3 linked regions of the Daphnia pulex genome follow. The protein of the gene in region 2 interacts with the protein of the main gene of each other region in a biochemical or structural test. Links are inferred from orthologs where the notes say so. Each region holds a gene or a part of one and is shown on either strand. Other genes may lie near its edges. The genes, in order: methylosome subunit pICln-like, protein arginine N-methyltransferase 5-like and serine/threonine-protein kinase RIO1-like.

Evidence for each region.
Region 1: the proteins of protein arginine N-methyltransferase 5-like (region 2) and methylosome subunit pICln-like form a complex in vitro, tested with the Homo sapiens proteins (5 studies listed by BioGRID and IntAct, with this or other methods). The link is inferred for Daphnia pulex from reciprocal best matches to the Homo sapiens genes PRMT5 and CLNS1A.
Region 3: the proteins of protein arginine N-methyltransferase 5-like (region 2) and serine/threonine-protein kinase RIO1-like are reported together in a solved structure, tested with the Homo sapiens proteins (2 studies listed by BioGRID, with this or other methods). The link is inferred for Daphnia pulex from reciprocal best matches to the Homo sapiens genes PRMT5 and RIOK1.

The regions. Positions count from the first base shown.
Region 1 is NC_060018.1:1,925,772-1,928,324, forward strand, and holds methylosome subunit pICln-like, read left to right. Parts: upstream 1-751; 5' UTR 752-938; coding exon 939-1,057; intron 1,058-1,139; coding exon 1,140-1,285; intron 1,286-1,389; coding exon 1,390-1,551; intron 1,552-1,613; coding exon 1,614-1,679; intron 1,680-1,761; coding exon 1,762-1,835; 3' UTR 1,836-1,932; downstream 1,933-2,553. Other genes in the region: renin receptor-like, read right to left, coding at 16-324, 460-587, 646-691; sulfotransferase 1E1-like, read left to right, coding at 2,516-2,553. UniProt on the Homo sapiens protein: Involved in both the assembly of spliceosomal snRNPs and the methylation of Sm proteins.
Region 2 is NC_060023.1:12,078,988-12,082,745, forward strand, and holds the start of protein arginine N-methyltransferase 5-like, read right to left. Parts: upstream 2,437-3,758; 5' UTR 851-2,436; coding exon 666-850; intron 580-665; coding exon 461-579; intron 387-460; coding exon 172-386; intron 114-171; coding exon 1-113. Other genes in the region: CUGBP Elav-like family member 1, read right to left, coding at 3,200-3,327, 3,403-3,660. UniProt on the Homo sapiens protein: Arginine methyltransferase that can both catalyze the formation of omega-N monomethylarginine (MMA) and symmetrical dimethylarginine (sDMA), with a preference for the formation of MMA.
Region 3 is NC_060022.1:121,838-125,595, forward strand, and holds serine/threonine-protein kinase RIO1-like, read right to left. Parts: upstream 2,796-3,758; 5' UTR 2,736-2,795; coding exon 2,665-2,735; intron 2,608-2,664; coding exon 2,468-2,607; intron 2,409-2,467; coding exon 2,000-2,408; intron 1,934-1,999; coding exon 1,747-1,933; intron 1,680-1,746; coding exon 1,561-1,679; intron 1,495-1,560; coding exon 1,299-1,494; intron 1,243-1,298; coding exon 1,120-1,242; intron 1,062-1,119; coding exon 813-1,061; intron 753-812; coding exon 648-752; 3' UTR 581-647; downstream 1-580. Other genes in the region: uncharacterized protein LOC124195509, read left to right, coding at 1-95, 161-394. UniProt on the Homo sapiens protein: Involved in the final steps of cytoplasmic maturation of the 40S ribosomal subunit. Involved in processing of 18S-E pre-rRNA to the mature 18S rRNA. Required for the recycling of NOB1 and PNO1 from the late 40S precursor.

The sequences.
Region 1 (2,553 bases), on a different chromosome or scaffold from region 2:
AACTAATGAAAATACCTTATGTTTTAAATCCATCAAAACATCAATATCTTTAAGAAACTGCAAGACAGCAACATCCTTTTTGTTGAGCTTTTGAAGTGCCAAAATCTTCTGGGTTTCACCAGAATATAAGTCATTTTCGTCAAATACAACTTGGCCTAGAATAGAAGTGAAATCATCCTTCACTTGATCAAGAGTAGAGGTGATCTCTAGTGGGTATCTGGGTTCACTCAACTGGAGACTTTGCACACCCTCAACAACAACAGCAACTGAAACTTCTGGGTAATTAAATGGATTCAAGACTGTAAGTCCATTCCACGAGTCACCCTGAAAACAGCAAATAATGGTATTGCTTCAAACTGATTTCATCATAGATACATCAAGTTGCAATATCACTCCTTCGTTTGGAACCAAACATATAGTTCCTAATCTACAAAGTTATAAATGAATGAAAGAACTTACAAAAGGTGTTGTGTGCCCCATTGCAGTGGAAATAATTTTTGGCAATTCACTTGTATTCAGCTGTTCATCTCCCCTAAAGTTGACTCCATTAGGGCTGTGCAAGATGCTGAACTCTCCATTTCCCAGGACTGCATTGCAACAAAACACTTCAAAAGCTGTAGTTTTCAATCGCTAGAAAATAATTACCTGAGGTTAATAGACAAAATACGCCGACAATTGATGCCACTTTCATCTTGCCTTCTTGTCTGGTCAACAGCAGCTGCAATTGCCTTTAGAAAAAGTTTGACAGTCTCGAGTCTCGTGACAGCTAAAGTCAGGTGATGTGTTCGTGGTTCATGATTTAGTCCCTAGATGACGTTTTCATTGCAGCCTACAATTTTTTTTTAAAACGTTGTGCTGCTGACAGCGTGATTCGAATCATATTTCATTTTCAAATTGTTGCTCTTCTTCTTTTCTGAATTCGTTAAATTTCTTAAAAAATGGTTGTATTATCTTCATTTCCTCCGCCTACCGAAGGAATCAAATTAGTTCAGCCTAATACTGGAGCTTTCATCAACACCAGAGACTTGGGCCAAGGAACATTATATATTGCAGAAAGGTTAATTTATATTTATATTCTATTTAAGTTTTCGATTACAAGAGTCACGGAAAAATAATTTTACCTATTCCAAACCATTTAGTCGTGTATCATGGGTTAGTGCCACATCTGGCCAGGGATTTTCGCTGGAATACCCCCACATATCGTTACATGCTGTTTCAAAAGATCCTTCTGCATTTCCACAGGAATGCTTGTACTTGATGTTGGATTCAAGGCTTGATGAACCCGGTAATACCCAATTCTATATTTATGTTTAAAATATCATTTGAGAAAATGTTATGTGAGATGTGTTCATGTTTCCAGGTTTGTCTGATTAAAGTTATATTTTTAAGATGAAGCTTTAGATAATCAAGATTCTGAGGATGAGGAATCTGAAACTGATATGTCTGAAGTAAGGTTTATTCCAGAAGATCGGGGACTTCTTGATGCCATGTACCATGCCATGACAATATGTCAAACACTCCATCCTGATCCTAATGATTCAATTTCAGATGGTAATATTTGACAAAAGGCAAAAGTTTTGCAGATTATTGTATTAACTTTTTTTTTTATTTAGAAGGAGATTTTGAAGATACTGAGGAAGGAGAATATTGCCTTGATGGAGCAGAAACAGCTGAAAATGGTAAATCTGATATAATTTCATTTAATTGATATCCGACAAATATTTATTGTTTTTCTCAATGTGCACCTCAATTGTTCGTAAGATCATGATAATGGTGAGGCGGAGAACATGGAGTCAGACATGGGTCAGTTTGAAGATGCCGATCCTGAACATTAACCGCACATATTTCCCTTATTCACGCTTTACTTACTATTGCTTTCTTTGAAATTTTAAATAATAAAACTTCAAAGCATAGGAGATAATTAATGTAAAACAATTTTTGGTGTCACCTCACTGTTCGATTGCCATGAACGCGAGTATTCTCGGTTAGTTAAAAAAAAAGAATGCGCCCGCTCCAATATTATGTGTAGATTTTAAGCGGGAAGCAAAAAAAAACTGTATGTGTGACAAAAAAAACAAGTTTAATAATCTTTAACTTAAAAATATCGCTGCCACAGTAAAGAAAGCATTGGTTTTCTTTAAAAAAAGAACTTCTTAAGGTAACTTGAAATGAAAAAAATGTGACGTGTTTCGACAAAGCGTGCAGAATGTTTAGCATTTTTTCTGAGGTAAAGCTTCGGTTGACGTTAACATTATGTGAACCTTCCACTAGAAAAGACAAGATCGATAACAGTAGTGCTACTCAAGAACGCCTTTTGTGGTCATGGTGGCGCTGTAGCTTGGGTTGTATCAAAGTTCAACGTTCTCAAGCCTCTCGGAAAGTCTCAATATTGATTCAGTCTCGAGTTTAGCGTCTCACGCATAGCACGACAGACTTTCTCCGCTACATCTCCCTCGGTGGTAATTATTCTCGGTACTCTGCGCCAGCGCCCCATTCCCTGACTTATCCCGCGAAAATGGCATTGCATTTTGAGTTTCCCGATGCCGAAACAAA
Region 2 (3,758 bases):
TTCCACCAATGCCAAGTATCATCAACTTCTTCTTCATCCACATCCCTTTCAAACAGACTAGCCTCAATTTTCGGGGAAATCATGGGGAGGTGGAGCCAAACATGGTACCTGGCCTAGGCACAAAGTGATAATTGAATCGTCTGCAAAAAGAAAATATTGGTAATGAAATACCTGATTCATCGGTGAAGACAACACTTTGTTGTGCATAAATCTGGCAAAATTTGTGTTGTTCTTTCTCAAGGGGACAAGGACAGCGGGGAGACCCAGATGTCCAGCAAAGGACAACTCTTGCTCCAGCATTTTCTCAGATTCTTGCCGCAGCAACTTGTCTTCATGATCCAAATCAATGTGTGGAGAAATCTTTCCAACAATGAGCGTGCTCCAGTCTTGAAATGAGATCATTCAACTTTCAATTAGGGGATCACTCGGCACACATTTATACTTTTTTTATCTTTTATACCTGAGCTGTTCAGAATGAGATCAGCTCGAGTGAAAGCTGAGAGACGTCGAGCTTGAGAATTTCCGGAGAAATCTCTTTTGTGTCTCGGATGGGCGATTGGCAGTGCAGCGAAATCATACCTGACGAAATCAAAAGTATTACGCTGTTAGCAACAAGTGACTGGGGCAATTTCTTGTGAAATTAATTTCGGGAATCAAATTAATACTTGGATTCTGTGGCGATTTGTAGAGCATTTGTAATATCGGCAGGGGAAACGAAATCGAGACCGCACGAAACACGTTTTGCCATTTTTGTAGTCGGTCTTCTGAGTGGCTGCGTTGCCAGATTTCTTTTCTTAAAAACGATTTTCGCACACCTACTTTTGTTTTTTAATTTAATTGAAATCGACATTTATTTTAAAGACGCTAATTTAAAATATTGTATTAACTGTTTCACTTGGCTGCCATCATTCGGGAGGGGGGAAATCATCATAAAAAACGGGCAAATGAAATCGCTCTGCGACATGCTGAAACACGTTTAAAGTATTCCACACCAAATATTTCCAAAAAAAAATCGCAATTTGTAACATCAAATTTTTGTCTAAATTTGCGGTGCAAACGTGAAAAAAATGAAACAAAAAAAAAAGTCGTACAAATAAAACAAAAATAAAATTTGGCATCGTCGATCCCACCCGAAATTCAAATTTCTCTTCTTCTTCTTCTCTCTCGCAGGAACTTGTCTAATTAGAACTGAAAAATGAATACTACAAACATGACTACCATCAACAAGTGCTCATTAGGTCACGAGTTTGTGTGTGTTTCTTTCAAAAAATAGACACGGGCGAATTTCTCTTGCTGGCGTCTTGCAACATAATTGTTTTAGTTTTTCTTTAAGTATCGAAAAATGTCTGACGCTTCAAAAATCGCCAACCGTAGTTGTTTTTTCTCAAACGAAGGTAAACGTGGGAAATGGGGTGTGAAGAAAAATATGAAACGACGAGATCTCACGTGCCCACCAGACAACAACAACAACAACAACAGCAAACAACTCCGTCACATCACTTTTTGCAACACAACAAAAAATTTTCACTTGGAACTTGAACAAAAGACAATCGAATTAAAAGAAAGAAGAAAAACACAATTAGAGATATACAAGTTTTTGTTTAGGTGCTTGTCAAGTCCTTTTTTGGGGGATAACGTCCACCTGGTTGCCAAAAAATGTTTGCCGGTCCTTGCGAAAAATCTGCACGTCACACTGACATTTGGGATCATTTGATACTTGTGGTAAATTGGCCGTCGGACGTGTGTGTGTGTGTTCTTGTTGCATGACTAGGGCGTGCGTCTGTACGTGTCACTGCCGAGGAAATTTCGATCAAAAAGAACAAAAAACAAAACAAAAAGGCACATGTAGGTGTCACGGCGCCACACCTTGTTTCCAACATCTTGCGTGTTGTTGTTGTTGTTGTCAAACGGTTCGAACAGAAATGAAGAGTCGATGGTGGGTGGTGGTGGGGGAGGTATACACGTTCGTATTTTCGAATTGAATTAATGTCACTTTTAAAAATTAGAAATTAATATAATTATATATAACCTATACGTGTGTGTGTGGGTGAGACTAGCTGATCACTACATCCATGTCGAATCAACATCGAAAAAAACTAAAACAATCAAAAGACACACAAACAAATGGGACACGGAACATAATCAAACATAATCCAAAAAATGGAAAAACTAAAAATAAAAATTGAAGAAACAAACAAACGACATTTTGGCATCTGGCCTAGCTGAATTCTTCTTTTCTTTTTTAAAAGGGAGGCAAACATGAAATAGCTTTCTTTTTGTAATCTCTCTACAATAATTTGGTAATATACTATGATTCAACATAACAATTAAAGAAGAACAAGACACGTGTAAATGAAAAACAAATAAAAGAAAAGAAGCGGATGAAATATTCGTCCGCTTCTCCGACGACAGAGACGCCAAACAATTGTTGTGTCTATATGGGGGACGACAAAAACACACGTACGAGACACGCAGGGAGTAAGATACACGATGAAAAAAAGAAAAAAAGGTTTGACAAACAACGTGAAAACGAGAGGAGGTTTGAAATTGTTTTTTTTTAAATTTGTGGTTGGTTGGTTGGTTGGTTGTGGTGCACACACGGACACACGGACACAAGGAAACCTAGAAGAAGAAGAGAAAATCAAATCAAAAACAACATTCGATACGAGAGACGAGAGACAAAAACGTTACAGCTAAAACATGTAGTCAACGACAAAACCCTGAGATAGACTAGAAAATTTCAATCATTTGAATTTGAGCGGGAAAAATGAATCGAGAAGAATTCAAAAAAAAAGGTTTAAATCAATTTGTTTTCTCTATTTGTGAAATATTTGTGAAATAAAGAAATTTAAGAAGAACCAATCACATGATATGTTTATAGGCTTTGCACTTTTTTCCATAAATGTGACTAGGTTATTTGGTCGCATTTCAAATTGAATAATAATAATTATTTTTAAAAAATAAAATGAAAACAAAAAAAATTTAAAATTCCCAACTTACTACCAAGAAAGGGGGAAGGGGCAAGGCGTGTTTGTCCAGTCATTTGAAAATTGTACGTTTCTTTTTTTTTGTAATGGGGCGGTGGCTTGTTGCGTTCAGTGACATCAACAAAAAAATATTTTTTTCTTTTTTTAATTTTTTTTTCGAATTTCAAAATATTTATTTCTCTCCCCCCGAGAGTTTTTCTGTTTCTTTTTTTTTAATAAGGTTTCGAGGCGTCTTTGGAACGTTTCAGCTGGACTTTGAGCCGTTTGGTGCCGATTTGAAAGCCGTTCATGGCTTGGATGGCCGCCTGGGAGCTCATCGGGTTGTCGTACGACACGAAACCTAAAATAAGAGAAATAGAATTCATCAAAATTTTCCGATTAAAATATAATGTCATGTCAAATTAAATGGAAATACCGAAACACTTTGACAAATTGGTCTGCTTGTCGATAAAGACTTTGGCTGATAGGATGTTGCCAAAGGGCGAAAAGGCTTGACAGAGGTCCGTGTCGCCAAACTCTTGCGGCAGGTGGTAGATGAACAGGTTGGATCCTTCCGGCCCTTCCTGCTGGCGCAATCCGCTACCCGTCACGCTGCCGCTGCCACCCAGGGGACTGACACTCCCGCCGTTGGCGCCATTCATCCCCACCTGGCCGCTAGTGAAATTGGGGAAAGCTAAAAAAACAAACCAACAAATAAATCAATTTTTGAAACGAAAAAGGAATGCCGGAATGCCGGAAGTGGAAGAAAAACAGGTGAAAAAGAAGCAAAGT
Region 3 (3,758 bases), on a different chromosome or scaffold from region 2:
CTGGATTTCTGTACTATACAATCGATGCGCACTCTTTTATTGTGATAATGTTGTTGGTTCAGTGGGCTACTGTTTCCATAGCTCCACTGGTTTCTGTAAGATCTCTTAACATCCAAAAGAACAACAGGAAAAGTAATTCGAATTTGTTTCCTTACCACAGGCTGCGTATGTTACTGCTGCAAGTCGAAACGTGCGCTCTGTAGGAATGAGGATACGTGTTCGTCCGTTCGGCTTTCAAGATGTTCCGGCTCAAAAATTGGATTCGTTCATGACATTCATTGCATGTCACAAAGGAACGGCTAAATTGTGCTTCGTTCCAATTAGTGCTGCATCACTCGGAGCAGTTGTTGCTATTGCTGCTTTAATTTTTCTTATCAGTGCTAACGTATCGTAATGTTATTATGGAATCATGTACGGGTTGAATGCCAAAGTCAACGTTTATCTCTCATATCTGTTGTGATCTATAACTCTTTCTCAGGTAATCTCAGAGTTTCTATCATATGTTTAATCTCGGTCGGGGAATTCAATACACATTTAAGATTCGTGATTTTATAAGGAATTAAAAAATAAAACCTTCTGGTTTGGTAAATTTCCCATATTATTTGAGTCGAAAAAATACATCAGCAAACACTTATCAAAAAAGGTAATTACTTTTTGGTGTTGGCGAGTTTTTCCTTTCTTTTCTTGACGTGTTTCTTTACTTTCTGCTTCCGTTTTTCTGATTGCTCAGCCTTGATGGCCTTTTTCCTCTCCTATTCCAAACGAATTTCAAGGTAAAGTTAGACGTTAAAAAACCTAGCAGCAAAATTTACCTTTCGACTGTTGGGGGATTCGTCGCGAGGTCGTGCACTGCTCACAAATTGTTTCTTTTCACCATCTTCTGAATCAGACTCACCAGATGCCTCATCGCTGCTAGTTCCGTCCACAATAGAATTATCCAAAATGTCTGGAACTTGCTTTGGGCCTGACAAGTCTGGTTTAATTCCAGTTACATTCGCGTAGTTCAATTCAATTTTCTCTCCCGCTTTAATTTGTCTAATGTCTCGTTCAAAGAACATGACCTGACGGAATATTGAGGTTAGTGAAAAAGAAAGAAAATGAACCAGGGCGCGCACTCACTTCATCTAATCTTTGAGGAATATATGTCTGTTTAAAGACTTCTGCTTTCACCAAATCTTCCGCTGTAGACTCTCCTTGAATATTTCTTTCGGAAGAAACTGTTGCCATTCTATCCAAGTAGTCCTGGAATTCAAAATGTGTCACTAAAAATACAAGTGTGTTTTCCAAATTGTAAATACCTCAATATTGGTTTCATTGATAGTCAAATCAACAACAAAATCAAAAAGTTCTTTAACTGTCATGACGCAAACTCCGTTTCTTTTGAAGAAGTCGGTAATATTAGTGCAATCCTTACGAAGAAATTCAAGAGCATGCGGATGGTCATGTTCTACTGATTGAGACACATCGATTACGATCAATGATCCTTCATGATACCTAGGATTGGTAATTAAGATAATAAATAGCGTGGGTCTATAATAATCACACAAGTTTAAAATTTACAGCATGTTGAATTCGCTGAGATCAGCGTGAACGAGTCTGCAGTCGTGAAACATTCGCCGCATCAAAATGATTGTGTCTCGATATAACTCACGGGCTTTCGATTCACTCAGCTCAACTTCCTTGTAGTATAAAAGCATCAAATTAAATCTCGACACCCGTGTAATCTATCGGATATTTTCAGTATACCTTTAGTCGGGGGGCAGGCCAACCAGCATCACCAATGAAAGTCATCAACAACACATGACTTCTCAGCAAAATTGGTTTGGGACATGGTAAACCAGCTGCTTCAAGTCTCAATAAATTTCTCAATTCTTTTTCAGCCCAAGTTCGAACCATTTTACGGGGATTGTGCTTACAATAACCATGTCGAAATCTGCAATAAAAAAAACTAGTGAGCCACAAACATAAACAAAATAAGATTGTAAGGTGTCAAGGTTACCTGAACTCGCCTGTGACGTATTTGTCTCTGTCTTTGAATACAAGAATGGATGTTTTATAAATTTTGAGGGCCAAATGTGTGTCATCTTTTCCTGTTGCATGATATACATTGGCTTCTTTTCCAGTGGAGATACAACCATTGATTTGAGTGATAAATCCTCTGTTCATTAATTTAAACAGAATCATTCTTGTCCGGGGATCCATAACTTGCTCAGCAGTAGCTCTGTCTGCCTTGTCTCTGAGACGCACCTTGTCATCACCTGGCAACGAAGGCATTTTGAACTCGTCCACATTAATCTTTTGGGAATATTTCTTGAATAGCTTTTCTCTTGGCTGGAAAGAAACCACTTTATTGGAACTAGTCTGTTGGTTGGGTTGGGCTCCCTGTACTTTTATTTGAGGCCCCTGATCTGCAGTAAATGTTGTCAGTTAACGAATTGAAAGTAAGCTTTGAACATTATGTTGTTACCATATTGCCAATCGTAACAATCGTCATCGCTCATTTCAGAATCGTCTGAATAATAGACTTCGTTATTTTCATCGACGGGCGGCACTTCGTCATTGGTCTCAAGATTAAGTTGTCGAATACCTTCAGCAACGTTCGAGTCTCTGATAAAAGCACTAAATTACATTAAAATAACTTGATAATATGAAAAATTGCATTACTTTTCATCTTCAACGTCGCTAAATTGTCCTTCAACAGGAGAAGAATCAGAAAAATCCACGTGGACTGCCATGGTTAAATAAAATTTGTTTTCTCATGTGTCATAAAAATTCGTCTGCCACATCGTGTGCAACATTGCCAACAATTGCATATATACTTCTTTTCGCAACGGCAAAATTAGAAAAAGAAGAGAAAATCTGCAAATGCTTGCTGCTTAATTTGTATCAGGTTGTTAACTGTAATTTAAAATTTGTTTTTTCTTTAATATAATACACCTGGATTTAAAAAAAAAACAAAACAAATCTTTTTTCATTTGTTCGACGCCTTAAAAAAAGGAGAAAATTAATTAGTAATTCTTTTAGTACAATGGATGTATGATTGTATATCATTTGTAGAATTAGACAGGAAGGATTACGTTTCCACGTAACTCTTTGAATAAAAAGTCTACAGGCGCCTACACTTGATTGATATTCTTTCCGTGACCGACTAAACGCACTCCTTGAGTGATATGATTTAAAAGTAGGTGAAAGCAAAGCGAAAATGAACGATGTAGCATGCCTGCTGGTTAATATTCGGTAGACACGACATTTAAAATAAATAAGAAATAGTGTTGACGTGTTGTACCCTTTACGAATTGTTGGCTAGCTATAAATAAACTGAAGGTTGACCACCGCTGCGCTTGAATGATTACCTAGCTGCCTGCCTGCCTATTTTTAAAAACAATGGCGAACGTATAGACCCCGGAAACCTATTGTGTTACATATACACTTGCACTATAGAATAAAAGAAAGAAAAGAAAAATCAATTTTACGACCCCCTACGTGTAGTGTAAGAGCGCAACTAAAAGAATATGGCGCGTGTGAATCTGAATTGTGCACCCAATATCCGTGTGTGTGTTGTGCGTTTGATGGTGGAAATATCGCGCTGGGTAATACGCATTCGTCAACAACAGCTGAGGTCGCTGGTCGCTCAGTTACGCAAAGAGAGCGTCGCCTTTCCATCAAAACTAAGAGAGAGAACAGGTAGGGAGTTACCTTGGTGACGGCGTGGGAGTCGTACGTGTTTTATCGATTGCCACTCTTTCAACCCTCATCTG